Callithrix jacchus: one gene and its partners. Each later gene encodes a partner of the first gene's protein in a complex. Links are inferred from orthologs where the notes say so. Each region holds a gene or a part of one and is shown in the gene's direction. Other genes may lie near its edges.

The links. The genes of interacting proteins can lie anywhere in the genome.
Region 2: TMEM216 (region 1) and B9D1 share a complex: the UniProt entries of both Homo sapiens proteins name them as parts of the tectonic-like complex. The link is inferred for Callithrix jacchus from reciprocal best matches to the Homo sapiens genes TMEM216 and B9D1.
Region 3: TMEM216 (region 1) and TMEM107 share a complex: the UniProt entries of both Homo sapiens proteins name them as parts of the tectonic-like complex. The link is inferred for Callithrix jacchus from reciprocal best matches to the Homo sapiens genes TMEM216 and TMEM107.

What each region holds. Positions count from the first base shown.
Region 1 is NC_133511.1:118,390,728-118,394,748, forward strand, and holds the start of TMEM216 (transmembrane protein 216), read left to right. Parts: upstream 1-1,221; 5' UTR 1,222-1,241; coding exon 1,242-1,254; exon of another isoform or gene 1,255-1,486; intron 1,487-1,811; coding exon 1,812-1,913; intron 1,914-2,441; coding exon 2,442-2,534; intron 2,535-4,021. UniProt on the Homo sapiens protein: Part of the tectonic-like complex which is required for tissue-specific ciliogenesis and may regulate ciliary membrane composition.
Region 2 is NC_133506.1:83,259,313-83,263,471, reverse strand, and holds the start of B9D1 (B9 domain-containing protein 1), read left to right. Parts: upstream 1-1,359; 5' UTR 1,360-1,416; coding exon 1,417-1,479; intron 1,480-3,601; coding exon 3,602-3,670; intron 3,671-4,159. UniProt on the Homo sapiens protein: Component of the tectonic-like complex, a complex localized at the transition zone of primary cilia and acting as a barrier that prevents diffusion of transmembrane proteins between the cilia and plasma membranes.
Region 3 is NC_133506.1:74,652,738-74,656,937, reverse strand, and holds TMEM107 (transmembrane protein 107), read left to right. Parts: upstream 1-1,400; 5' UTR 1,401-1,525; coding exon 1,526-1,612; intron 1,613-1,788; coding exon 1,789-1,856; intron 1,857-1,956; coding exon 1,957-2,057; intron 2,058-3,478; coding exon 3,479-3,575; intron 3,576-3,796; coding exon 3,797-3,866; 3' UTR 3,867-4,041; downstream 4,042-4,200. UniProt on the Homo sapiens protein: Plays a role in cilia formation and embryonic patterning. Requires for normal Sonic hedgehog (Shh) signaling in the neural tube and acts in combination with GLI2 and GLI3 to pattern ventral and intermediate neuronal cell types.

The sequences.
Region 1 (4,021 bases):
CCCCAGACGGAGTATCACTGTCACCCAGGCTGGAGTGCAGCGGCATGATCTCAGCTCACTGCAACCCAACCTCTGTCTCCCAGGTTCCAGCGATTCTCCTGCCTCAGCCTCCCAAGTAGCTGGAACTACTGGTGCACACCACCATGCCCGGCTAATTTTTGTATTTTTAATAAAGATGGAGTTTCGCCATGCTGGCCAGGATGGTTTCCAACTCCCGACCTCAAGTGATCCACCAACCTCAGTCTCCCAAAGTGCTGGGATTACAGGTGTGAGCTACCGCACCCAGCCAGCAACATGCTTTTACCGCTCAAAATCCGAATCAGGAGGCTTTGAAGCCCAGCTCACAGGCCGTCTTTTGGAAACTAACTTCGATTTCCATGTGGGAGCACTTTGTCCTCTCAGCTCTCACTGAACCACTTTATGTATCACGTGGTGACTCGTTTCAATTTGTGCTCCAGGAAAGGACGCTCTATTTCCCTGGTGTCTCTACCTGCTACTAAATAGGCCGCAGAAAAAAACCAATGCTGGCGGGGCACAGTGGCTCATGCCTGTAATCCCAGGACTTTGGGAGGCCGAGGTGGGTAGATCACCTGAGGTCAGGAGTTCGCGACCAGGCTAGGCAACATAGTGAAACCCCATCTCCACTAAAAATACAAAAATTAGCTGGGCATGGTGGCAGGTGCCTGTAATCCCAGCTACTCAGGAGGCTGAGGTGGGAGAATCGCCTGAACCCGGGAGGAGGTCGCAATGAGTCGAGATTGCGCCGCTGGTCCAGACTGGGTAACGAACGAAACTCCGTCTCAAAAGAAAAGAAAAAAAGAAACCAATGCTAACCCCCACCCCGCATTTGCAGAGATCCGTCGCGCACACCGTTTATCGTTTCCGATGAAAAAGGGGAATGGTGGGACTAGGACTTATTTGCCAATCCTGATCATATTGTCACAGCTGGCCACTTCCGCCCAACGCCCGGTAGCCCGAGAGCCTCTGGGGTCCTCCCCCACACCCCCGAGGTCCTGCAGACGACGGCGTCGTGGGCGGCCACTGTTTTAGGTCTGGAACTGGAACATCAAGCGAGAGTCACTTGCCGCCAGGCCCGGGTTCTTCCCGCTCGGGTTGGGCACAGAGCGCCGCGTGCGGTCGGAGAGCCCGGAAGCGCAGGCCGCTCCGTCCCCGTTTCCGGCAGCGCCTCGCTGCTCCTGGAGCCGCGGTGGTAGCGTACGCAGTTTCCATGGGGACTGAAGATGGCGCCGCGAGGTGAGATTCTGGAGGTGTGTGAGTCGCTGGTCCCTTTCCCTTCGGCCCCTCCCTCCCACCTCTGTCCCAGAGCTTGACCTAAACCCTCCTTTCTCAAGCGTTAGGGACTTGGCGCCTCCCTGGTCCAAAGCGGGCTTCCGCGGCCCCGCCCAGCCTGGGTGCCTGAAGGTCTCCGGGTGCGGGGCTCAGATAGCTACACATCCTCGGCTGGGCCTCTTCTAGGCTGGCTCAGGTACGAATATGTGGATCTCCGCGCCCCAACTTCCCCTCCCAAATAGTGACAGGGAGAGATCTTTGATCTCAGTTACCTCTTAACTTGTATCCCTGAAGCCGAAGGATCGAGTTTCACGGTGATTCCTGGGAAAGGAGGGAAGCCCCCTCCACACTCACCTCCGTACCCTCACCCCACTCATTATCAGCAACCAGAAGTGCCCCTAAGTGGCCGGTCCCATTAGTCCACTGCCCCTAGTTTTCCCCAAAGTAGATACCAACCCCTTCGAGGAGCCGAGAGGGAGCCGCCCTCCTGCCCATCCCACTTCTCTGTGCTCCTTTTTCAGGGAAACGGTTGTCCTCCACCCCCCTGGAAATCCTATTCTTTCTGAACGGGTGGTATAATACTACCTATTTCCTGCTGGAACTTTTCATGTTTCTGTATAAAGGTAAGGAAGGCTTGAGGCTTAGACACAGCATCTTTCCCCCACTTCAGGTCAGAGCCGTCTCCTACCAAGAACCTTTTTTGCCCTATGCAGTTCTTTGTCGCTGCAAGGCAGGCCTCCTCATCAGATGGCTTATTTGAGTACGATCCCACAGGTAGCCCCTCAGCAAGAATTTCTTGAATTTGGGAAACAGGGCCTTTCAGTTCTGACTCCGCCCACATTGCTGCTCTTTGCTGAGCTCAGCTGTAAGCCCATTGGTGACCCTCAGAAACTTCAGTGGCCTGTGTACCCTGTATATCCAATCATTTTGGAGAGTGGAGTCCCCAGAGACTTTTGGAGTTAGGGGTAAAATGCGGTAATAATGAGCCGGGGTTGGTTGCACTGTGAGTTTATGTATCCTGCAGCTGTAACACCCACCTCCTAACTAGTTCATGGACAGCTGAGACAGATGTCCTCTTTTTCCCAAGTGTGTGGCAGTCCTTGTGGGTGCCGTTATCTGTTGTTTGCAAACTCTGGCTTTTGTATTGGCAGGTCTCCTGCTACCATATCCAAAAGCTAACCTAGCACTGGATGTGGTGATGCTCCTCCTTTACCTTGGAATTGAAGTAATTCGCCTGTTTTTTGGTGAGTGTCGTCCAGAGAATATTTCCACTCCTTATGAGACAAACTGTAACTTGATTAACAAGAAAAGTACATAACCTAGGTTAACTATCAAAGATTGGATCTGGAGGTATATCCCTTTACTCCCTCTCTGAAGTTTCAAGTTGCTGCTTCTTAATTGGGTCAACATTTACCTGTTCGTTGCTCTCTAAGGCTAGAGATCAGCAATAGCATGGGATATTAGATGATTGATTCCTTTTCAGCTGCCTAACTGCAAGAAGAGTGCCTGGTTCCTCTCACTAGCTTTCTTGGGGAATAGGTTCAGTTATAACTCCATGTCAGGGAGGCAGTATATCCTGCACAGATCAGTCCCAAGATCCCTGACAATTCTCTGAATAAGGATCTCTCGTAGGATTTTATTTTATTTAATTGGAGTTTTGTTCTGTTGCCAAGCTGGAGTGACGTGGCATGATCTCGGCTAACTGTAACCTCTGCCTCCCCGGTTCAAGTGATTCTCCTGCCTCAGCCTCCTGAGTAGCTGGGACTAGGTAGTAGGTGTGTGCCACCACACCAGCTAATCTTTGTATTTTTAGTAGAGATGGGGTTTCACCATGTTGGTCAGGCTGGTCACGAACTCCTGACCCCATGATCCCCCTGGCTTGGCCTTGCAAAGTGCTGGGATTACAGGCATGAGCCACCTTGCGAGGACTGATTTGTGTGTTACAGGCCAGATTTGTTTGTTTTTGAGACGGAGTTTCACTTTTGTTTTCCAGGCTGGAGTGTAATGGCATGATCTTGGCTTCCTGCAACCTCTGCCTCCCAGGTTCAAGCGACTCTCCTGCCTCAGCCTCCCGAGTAGCTGGGATTACAGGCATGCACCACCATGCCTGGCTAATTGTATATTTTTAGTAGAGATGGGGTTTCTCCATGTTGGCTAGGCTGGCCTTGAACTCACGACCTCAGGTGATCCGCCCACCTCGGCCTCCCAAAGTGCTGGGATTACAGGCGTGAGCCACCATGCCCAGCCAGGACTTTTTTTTTTTTGAGACGGAGTTTCGCTCTTGTTGCCCAGGCTGGAGTGCAATGGCGCATTCTTGGCTCACTGCAACCTCCGCCTCCTGGGTTCAACAATTCTCCTGTCTCAGCCTCCCAAGTAGCTGGGACTACAGGCATGTGCCACCATGCCTGGCTAATTTTTTGTATTTAATAGAGACAGGGTTTCACCATGTTTGCCAGGACGGTCTCCATCTCTTGACCTTGTGCTCCACCCGCCTCGGCCTCCCAAAGTGCTGGGATTACAGGCGTGAGCCACCGCGCCCGGCCAGGATTTTTTTTTTTAGCATTTATTTATTTGAGACAGAGTCTCACTCTGTCACCTAGGCTGGAGTACAGTGGTGCGATTATAGCTCACAGCAGCCTTGAAGCCCTGGGTTCAAGCAGTCCTCCCACTTCAGCCCTGAGTAGCTGGGACCACAGGCGTGTGACACCATGCCTGGCTAATTTTGAATTTT
Region 2 (4,159 bases), on another chromosome or scaffold:
CTACACATCTGTGAATTTCTTCATTTCCTGGATCCAAGATAACGTCTCCAACGTCTCATTTGACACCTCTGCCAACAGACGCTCTTGGGACTGGCCCAAAATAAGACAGAGGGAGTGAAGGTTGTTAGCCTCTGGAGTCCTGCCTGGGTTCGAATCCTGACTTAGCTACTTACCTGCCTTTCCCATCGGAATCTGTTTCCTCCTCCGTAAAATGGAGATGTCTTCAATTACTCATTTATTCAAGAAGTTAGTAGTTACCAAGTGCTTACTATGTGACAGGCCACAAAGATACAAGACTGACTCATGGAGCTGGCAGTCTAGTGAGGGAGGCAAGCACTGGGCTGAATTATGACCGGAATAAATGTGCAAACACAAACAACAGGAGCTCTAAGAGAACCGGATCCACGTGTTCATGGAGGCTGTGACCTATTCGGGGCGTCCAGAGGGTAATTGACATTTGAACACGGTCTTGACAGACTCGTCGAGTCTGGCTAGCAACTCCCCTGAGCGCCCGCTGACTGGGGTGCCAGGCGCCGCCCACTGCAGGCCTCCGTTTCCCCAGCTTCGCACTGAAGAGCAATGACTTGGATGTAAGAATTCTTGAGGTCCCTCCCAAGTTTGTTTAATAAACTTTTTCGAGGGCGAGGGTCTCCAAGCCACAAAGGCGCATCCCCTTCACCTGTTTGGACCTTGCTTGACCCCAGGTGGGGAGCCTCTTCCAGCGTTAACCCGGGCAGCTATAGTCACGCCGCCCGCGCTCCGCAGCGCCTCCCTCCGCATCCTCGCAGTGAGGCCACAGCGACATCTAGTGGCTAAAGGTATTTTTAACACGGCTTGCCGCTGGCGTGAATCAGGGGCGCTGCTCGCCAGAACTCAGCCCTCTTCCGCCTCCGCGCTTCGTGGGGAGCCGGGCAGAGTCAGAGTGAACACGCACTCCCTGCGGTGCAATTGTGTCGCGCGATAGGACTGGCTTTTCCCGACAGCTCAGCGCTACCGCCCCAGTTTTCTTGGTCCTAGCTGCCCCAAGGATAGGTAGGACCTCGGTGTGGAGCCCCGCCCCTCGTTCCCCGCCCCGCACAAGCCCCGCCCCCTTACGACGGCGCTTGCTAACTGCGCCTGCGCGTGCTACACACACACACACACACACACACACACACACACACACACACTCTCACTCTCTCTCTCTCTCTCTCTCTCTTCCGCCTCCTCCCCTTCCCTCCTTCCCCTCCCCCCCTCCCCCTTCCCCCCCTCCCTCCTCCTCTCTCTCTCGCTCTCGCTCGCTCGCGGCTTTCGCGAAGGTGTCGCTACCAAGAAACGTGTCCCGCGCGCCACGCCGTCTGTTTCTAGGGCAACGCCGGCGTTTCTTAGCAACCGCGCGCGGCCTAGGTGGGTTCCTTCGGAACCCCCAACCTTGCCATGACGACCGCGAGTCCTAGCGTCTTTCTACTGATGGTCAACGGGCAGGTGGAGAGCGCCCAGGTGAGCGGCCGTGGACCCCGTCGGGGCCCGCCCCCCAGCGTCCCCCGGGGCCCTTCCCGCAACCCCGCGGGCTGCCCTGTGGCCCCCAGAGAGCCACGTCATTCCTCTGAGCCTCTCCGTTAGGCGGGGGCGGGAAGCCAGCATTGGAGGACTTGGCGCGAGGTTTTCGGGATCCTAAGTTCCGATGTGCAGGTGTAGAAGCAGACCTCGAGATGTTGAGCTAGTACTGAGGTCACACTCGGCCAAGCCTGTGGCCCCTCGCACGGATCATGCCCTCTAGGTTGAGTCACTGGCAGGAGCCTCCCAGGGTGTAACGCGAGGAGCCGAGGCTCGGCCGAGTTTCCGGTATTTGCTCCGTGTCGGGTGCCCAGCTACTGCCCCGCGCTCTAAATCCCCAGATCTTTGAACTCGGGTTGGAATCCAACCATCCAACGATGGTAGTGGCCTGGAATGCCCCAGGGAAGGTGTGCCTGTCAGGCCGGAGGGACAGGAAGCTACTCTCCATCCCCCTACACTTTAGAGGAACCGTTTATTGTAAACAAAAACCAACGCTCACCAAGTCCTCAATATGTGCCAAAGTCAGTGCTCAGCACTGCTTATTCCATCCTTACAACCTTGCCAGATAGGCACTACTAACACCCCCATTTCACAGCCGGGGAAACAGCCAAAGCAACTGGCCTGTCTGGGAATTGAACCCACGCCTGTGTGACCTCAAAGCTTCGCTACACTGTCCTTCCAGGTCGTTGGAGATGGTGTTTATTATATTATTGTGAGGTGTGACTGAGACGGTTTGGGTAAGGCTCTGATAGGGCCTGATGCTTTGTTGGTGTCTCCTGCCTTCCTGTTTCATCAGGAATACTGCTCCACCCTCCCATCCTGTCCGCCTCTGCCTTAGCCTAGTGCCTAAGACCACCTTTCTCCCCTCTCTTGTTCTATCCCATTAGGGGCTCTTGGCTGGGCTGAGTCACATGTGTCTGTGCTCTCAGCATCAACCCCCCCCACACACACACACTCACACTCACACTTCCTCCCTGCTCTGCTCTCAGCACCTCCCTCTTTTCAGGGCCTCAGCTCCAGCCTTGCATATGCCCTGTGCCTGATGGCTTCCTAGGTTCTCAGACCTTTCACTTCAGCACCATTCCCTTACACTAGCAGTCCTCAGCCTTTTTGGCACCAGGGTCTGGTTTCGTGGAAGACAGTTTTCCCACGGACAGGAGGTGGCAAGGGATGTTTTGGGGATGATTTGGGGACATTACCTTTATTGTACACTTTATTTCTATTATTATTACATTGTAAAGTATAATGAAATAATTATACAACTCACCGTAATGTAGAATCAGTGGGAGCCCTGAGCTTGTTTTCCTGCAACTAGATGGTCCCATCTGGGGGTGATGCGGTGACAGTGACAGATCATCAGGCATTAGGTTCTCATAAGGAGCGCGCAAACTGAATCCTTCATATGCAGTTCACAATAGGGTTCGTGCTCCTATGAGAATCTAATGCCGCCACTGCTCAGACAGGAGGCAGAGCTCCAATGGGGAACTGCTGTAAATAAAGATGAAGCTTTGCCCACTTGCCTGCTGCTCATCTCCTGTTGTGTGGACCCATTCCTAACGGGCCACGGACTGGTACCGGTTGGGGACCCCTGCCTTAGACCTCATCCGTGCCCAGCCCTGTGCTGGGCAATGGGGACACAGAAAGGCATGAAATCTGTTCTCTGCTTATAGTCTAGAGGAATTGACAGACTTAGGCACAGGCAATCATTGCTTTTATGGAGGGAAGCACAGGGCTACAGGAGCCAAGAGGAGACCTTAAACCAACCTGAGAGTGAGGGCAGCCTCCCTGAAGGGTAAGTTTTGAAGTATGAGCAGAAGTTTTCCAGATGAAGAAATAGAAAGGACAGATCAGACAGAAGGCAGAGCCTGAGCAAAAGCCTGGGACTCTCCGTGGACTCCCGCATCTTGGCCCTGAGCCTCTCCTCTGAACGCCAGGTCCACATCCCCAGCTGGCTCTTAGACTCAATCCCAGGTGCCTCGCGTTCAAAATTCCTCTTGGCTGCCCTTGTCTAGCAAACGCATTGGCCTCAGCATGAATACCGGTTGACAGACTGTGCTTTTTTCAGTTTCCAGAGTATGATGACCTCTACTGCAAGTACTGCTTTGTATACGGCCAGGACTGGGCCCCCACAGCGGTAAGCTGGACTCTTGGGCCTCCCTTACTTACCACCTTCATGACTTTTGGGGTTTCTGAAGGTGTCATACCCTTCCCCTCCCCATTCAGAACCAGTCAAGAGGTAGACACTGAATTCAGGGGACCCACACATGAGTTTTCCTGGTAAGCTGGAGCAGAGGACACAGCCACGGTTGGACCCCCTGATCCAGCCCCCAAGACCACTCACACGCCCTACCCTGTGAGCTTGCCCAGGGCAGCAAAGAGCAGCGCCTGCAGCAGGGGGCTGGCCCTGGTGAGCCAGCCTGGCTGTGGCTGAGCTGTGGACACTCTGGCCAGTCTGCTCACCATCTGGCCTCTCCTTAGCCAGTGGGGAGGACACATGTTTCTGTTGGGGGGTGTCAGATAATAAGGAGTGCATATTCTAGAATGTCAGTGAGCCAGAAGGGCGGTGGGGAGACCAAGCCAGGAAGTGACAGGGATGAGCCATGAGAGAGGGAGGCCGCGATCT
Region 3 (4,200 bases), on another chromosome or scaffold:
TCGCCTCACTGCAACCTCCACCTCCAGGATTCAAGAAATTCTCCTGCCTCAGCCTCCCGAGTAGCTGGAATTACAGGTGCTCGCCATCATGCCCAGCTAATTTTTATATTTTTAGTAGAGACCGGTTTTCACCATGTTGATCAGGCTGGTCTAGAACTCCTGACCTCAGGTGATCTGCCCGCCTTGGCCTCCTAAAGTGCTGGGATTACGGCCATGAGCTACTGCGCCAAATTTTCTAAAATAAAGTTTAAGAACAAATGCCCCATTCTTTTTATAGAATTATAATTGTAGCGTTTCCCTTTTCATAGCATATAGTATCTTGCGGATTTGTTTGCATGTCTATTATTGATCTCCCTGACTAGAATCCACCTACTAGGTAATCAGTAAATACAAACAATATTTGAAGAAATGAGAAATGCCTCTTGGGCATATATTTAGACTGGCTAAAGGCACTGAGACGGGGAGTGAGGAAGAGGAAGCGGTTGTTCTCCGGGGAAATGAGCCGGGAGGACCCTTGAGAATGGGACTTGACAGCATTGCGAGAAGAAAGAGCTTTCCGATCAGCGGGGACCTGCGCTGAAACCCAAAGGTCATGAGGTTGCCGATGATAAGAGCTTCTTGGACTGTAGCTGGGTAATGTCGGAGGCCCAGCACCTCCAAGAGATAAAGAAATCTGATTTGAGTTTCCGTTCCAGTCAGCTCCAAGCCTCCCAGGGATGCAGGGACTGTCCATTCCCTCCATCCACTCCCACCCTTTCCGGTCCCCTTGCTCTGCCATTTTTTGCACTCTGCAAATCCCTCACCAAACTGAGCAAAGTTAGACTGAGAGAAATCAGTCTTCCTCAAGGAAAGTTCAGGCCTGGGGTCCTCAGACATCCAGGGGCTCCGTGACAATCTGTGACTGCTGAGCAGTCTAGGGACACCGCCTCTCCAAGTTCGGGACCCTTGTTTCTGAGGCCAGCTTGGTGGGAAGCTAAAGGCATACGGAGGAGGGGAAGGGGAGCGTGTCTGAGTCTTCGGCATGGCGGGGACCCGGACCTCAGCCCGGCATGGCGGTGGCGCGGCCTCAGGAGATCCACAATTGTCGGTGTAGAAGGGGCTGGGGGCCGCTCCCGGCAACTGCGGAAGCCGAGGTGCCCCCAGGCTAGCCCAGGTCGGTTTCCGTTCGTCGGTCCTGGGCGGGTAGATCGGGCGCTGCGGGGCCGTGCCACCTCGCACCCTCTCAGGAACAAAGGGCTTGGCTACGCGCGGATACCCAAACGTTGGGTTAGAATGGCATTCGGGGAAGCCCTGACCTGCGCAAGCCGGAAGAGGCCAGCAGCAGCTTGAGAATATACTGCTCTCGCGATGTTTTTCGAGAACGCGGCGCCGCGTTCGCGTACGGAGTTACCAAGGTAACTGGGCGGTGCCTGAGCGGGCGGGAAGGAGGCGTTCGTCTAGATTTTGTCCGCTTGCAGGGAGACTTCAGGAGTCGCTCTCTTTGAAATTCCGGCCTCTGAGACCGCCGCCCCTGTTTCCAAGGGCCATGGGCCGGGTCTCAGGGCTCGTACCTTCTCGCTTCCTGACGCTCCTGGCGCATCTGGTGGTCGTCATCACCTTATTCTGGTCCCGGGTAAGACCCACGGCTGACATCCGTCCGCCCCTATTCCCACCTCGGAGTGGTCCCAGCCCCATCTTGCCCCTCTCCCAGTGTCTTACCCACTTAGGTCTTCTCGTTCCCCGCCGCCCCCAGGCCTGCCTCGCCGCCCGTCCCTTTTTCACTTCTCTTCCTCTCTGCTCTGCTCCCAGGACAGCAACATCCAGGCCTGCCTGCCTCTCAGGTTCACCCCCGAGGAGTATGAAAAGCAGGACATTCAGTGAGCTCTCTCGGAATGGGCTGGTCAGAACGGAGAGGTGGTGGGAGTGGAGGGTTCTTAGAAGTCCAAGGGCCTGAGGCTGTCCACTTCCTTTCTGCAGGCTGGTGGCCGCGCTCTCTGTCACTCTGGGCCTCTTTGCAGTGGAGCTGGCCGGTTTCCTTCTAGGAGTCTCCATGTTCAACAGCACCCAGAGCCTCATCTGTATCCTTTCCTCCTGCTCACCTTTCCCACACGACCATTTCCATCAGGACTCCCTTCAGCCACCTGACACCATAGTGTCTGCTGTAACCAATCTCTCCAGTTCGGATATCTTCAAACATGTGCTAAATCCTGCTGTTTACTAGGCACTTAAAATCCCAAAATGAGAGTAAAACAGTTTTCGGCCAGGCACGTTGACTCATGTCTGTATTCCCAGCAGTGTGGGAGGCCCAGGCAGGAGGATTGCTTGAGGCATCATAGTGAGACCCTATGTCTACAAAAATAATAGTAATAATGAGAACTTCACCTTTTTTGTTTATCATGAGGAGGAGGCAGACACATATCTGTAATTCAGTGATAAGCAGGGTGCTATAGGAGTGTGTAAAGAGGGGTGGGCGCGGTGGCTCACGCCTTTATTTCAAGCAACTTTGGGAGGCCAGGACAGGTGGATCATTTGAAGTCATGAGTTTGAGACCAGCCTGACCAACATGGTGAAACACCATTCTCTACTAAAAATACAAAAATTAGCCGGGCGTGGTGACGGCACACCTGTAACCCCAGCTACTCAGGAGGCTGAGGCAGGAAAATTGCTTGAACCTGGGAGGCAGAAGTTGCAGTGAGCCGAGGTTGAGCCACTGCACTCTAGCCTGGGCAACAGAGTGAGACTCCGTCAAAAAACAAACAAGCGGGACACGGTGGCTCAAGCCTGTAATCCCAGCACTTTGGGAGGCCGAGGCAGGTGGATCACGAGGTCAAGAGATTGAGACCATCCTGGCCAACATGGTGAAACCCCGTCTCTACTAAAAATTCAAAAATTAGCTGGGCGTGGTGGCGTGTGCCTGTAGTCCCAGCTACTCAGGAGGCTGAGGCAGGAGAATTGCTTGAACCCGGGAGGCGGAGGTTGCAGTGAGCCGAGATTGTGCCACTGCACTCCAGCCTGGTGCCTGGTGACAAAGTGAGACTCTGTCTCAAACAAACAAACAAACAAACAAACAAACAAAAGGTAGAAAGCACAATGGGAACTCAGAAATGGCAAAGGAAATGAAGCACGTGGGTCAGAGAACTGTGAACCAGGAGTGCTAGAACCCTGGAGGCTGATTCCAGCAGAGCATATCAATTCGCTGTCAGCACTCCTGTGTGGCATGGTAGGAGAGCCTACTCTTACCTCTCATCTGAAGGGTCCAAGCTGGCCTCTAGATGTGGGGTAGGCTAGCCTGAGGTCCCATCTATGCAGTTACTTCTGGTCTCTCCTCATATGACCATCCTACAATTCAGAAGTCAGGGCTGCTGACTCTAGCCCTTGCAATATGGTGAGGGAGCAAGCGATGAACCTGAGTGCAGATGCCAACCCCACCACTGATGTTTTCTGATCCATCACTATCTGTCGATCCAAAGACTTTCCTTAACTGTGGTGCCTTCCCAAGCCATTGGGGCTCACTGTAGTGCATCCGTGGCCCTGTCCTTCTTCATATTTGAGCGTTGGGAGTGCACTACGTATTGGTACATTTTTTTCTTCTGCAGGTGTGGTAACACCCAATATTTGGGGATGAGGGAGGAAGGTTTACCCTAAATCTGAAAGTTTTCCCCCACCCGGTCCCTTCTTCCATGCATGAGATCCTGTAGTCTTTTTCATCCCCCATCCCCATGCCACCTGCCCTATACTTTCAGGGGTGGGGTCTCTAGTTTGGAGATTTGCATATTTATATTGAAAGGATTTCTGAATCTACCACCTGCTTCGGTAGTGCCCTTCCAGCTGTCACTGAAATGGCTTTATTCATCGCCATCTTTGGGCTGAAAAAGAAACCTTTCTGATCACCTTCCTGATGGTCGAAGGCTACATGGGAGGCCGCTTCGTATTCCTGGAAGAAGAAAGGCATAGGCTTCAGTCTTCCCCTTGGAAACTGCTTCTGCTAGAGGATATGTGTTGGATGTATGGGATTATCAGCATTGTATTTAGTGTTTTGTAATAAAATATGTTTTGTAGTAAGATCAAGAGTTATATAGTTTTCAGGGGACAATTGGGATGGCTTAACTATTGAAGAAAAAAACAACTACGCTGTTTTCTAGTCCTGCAGACCGTAAGATACTTGATATCGCTTCTATTTTGGTTATTACGGTAGACGTCTGGGGGAAGGAAGTGGGCGGG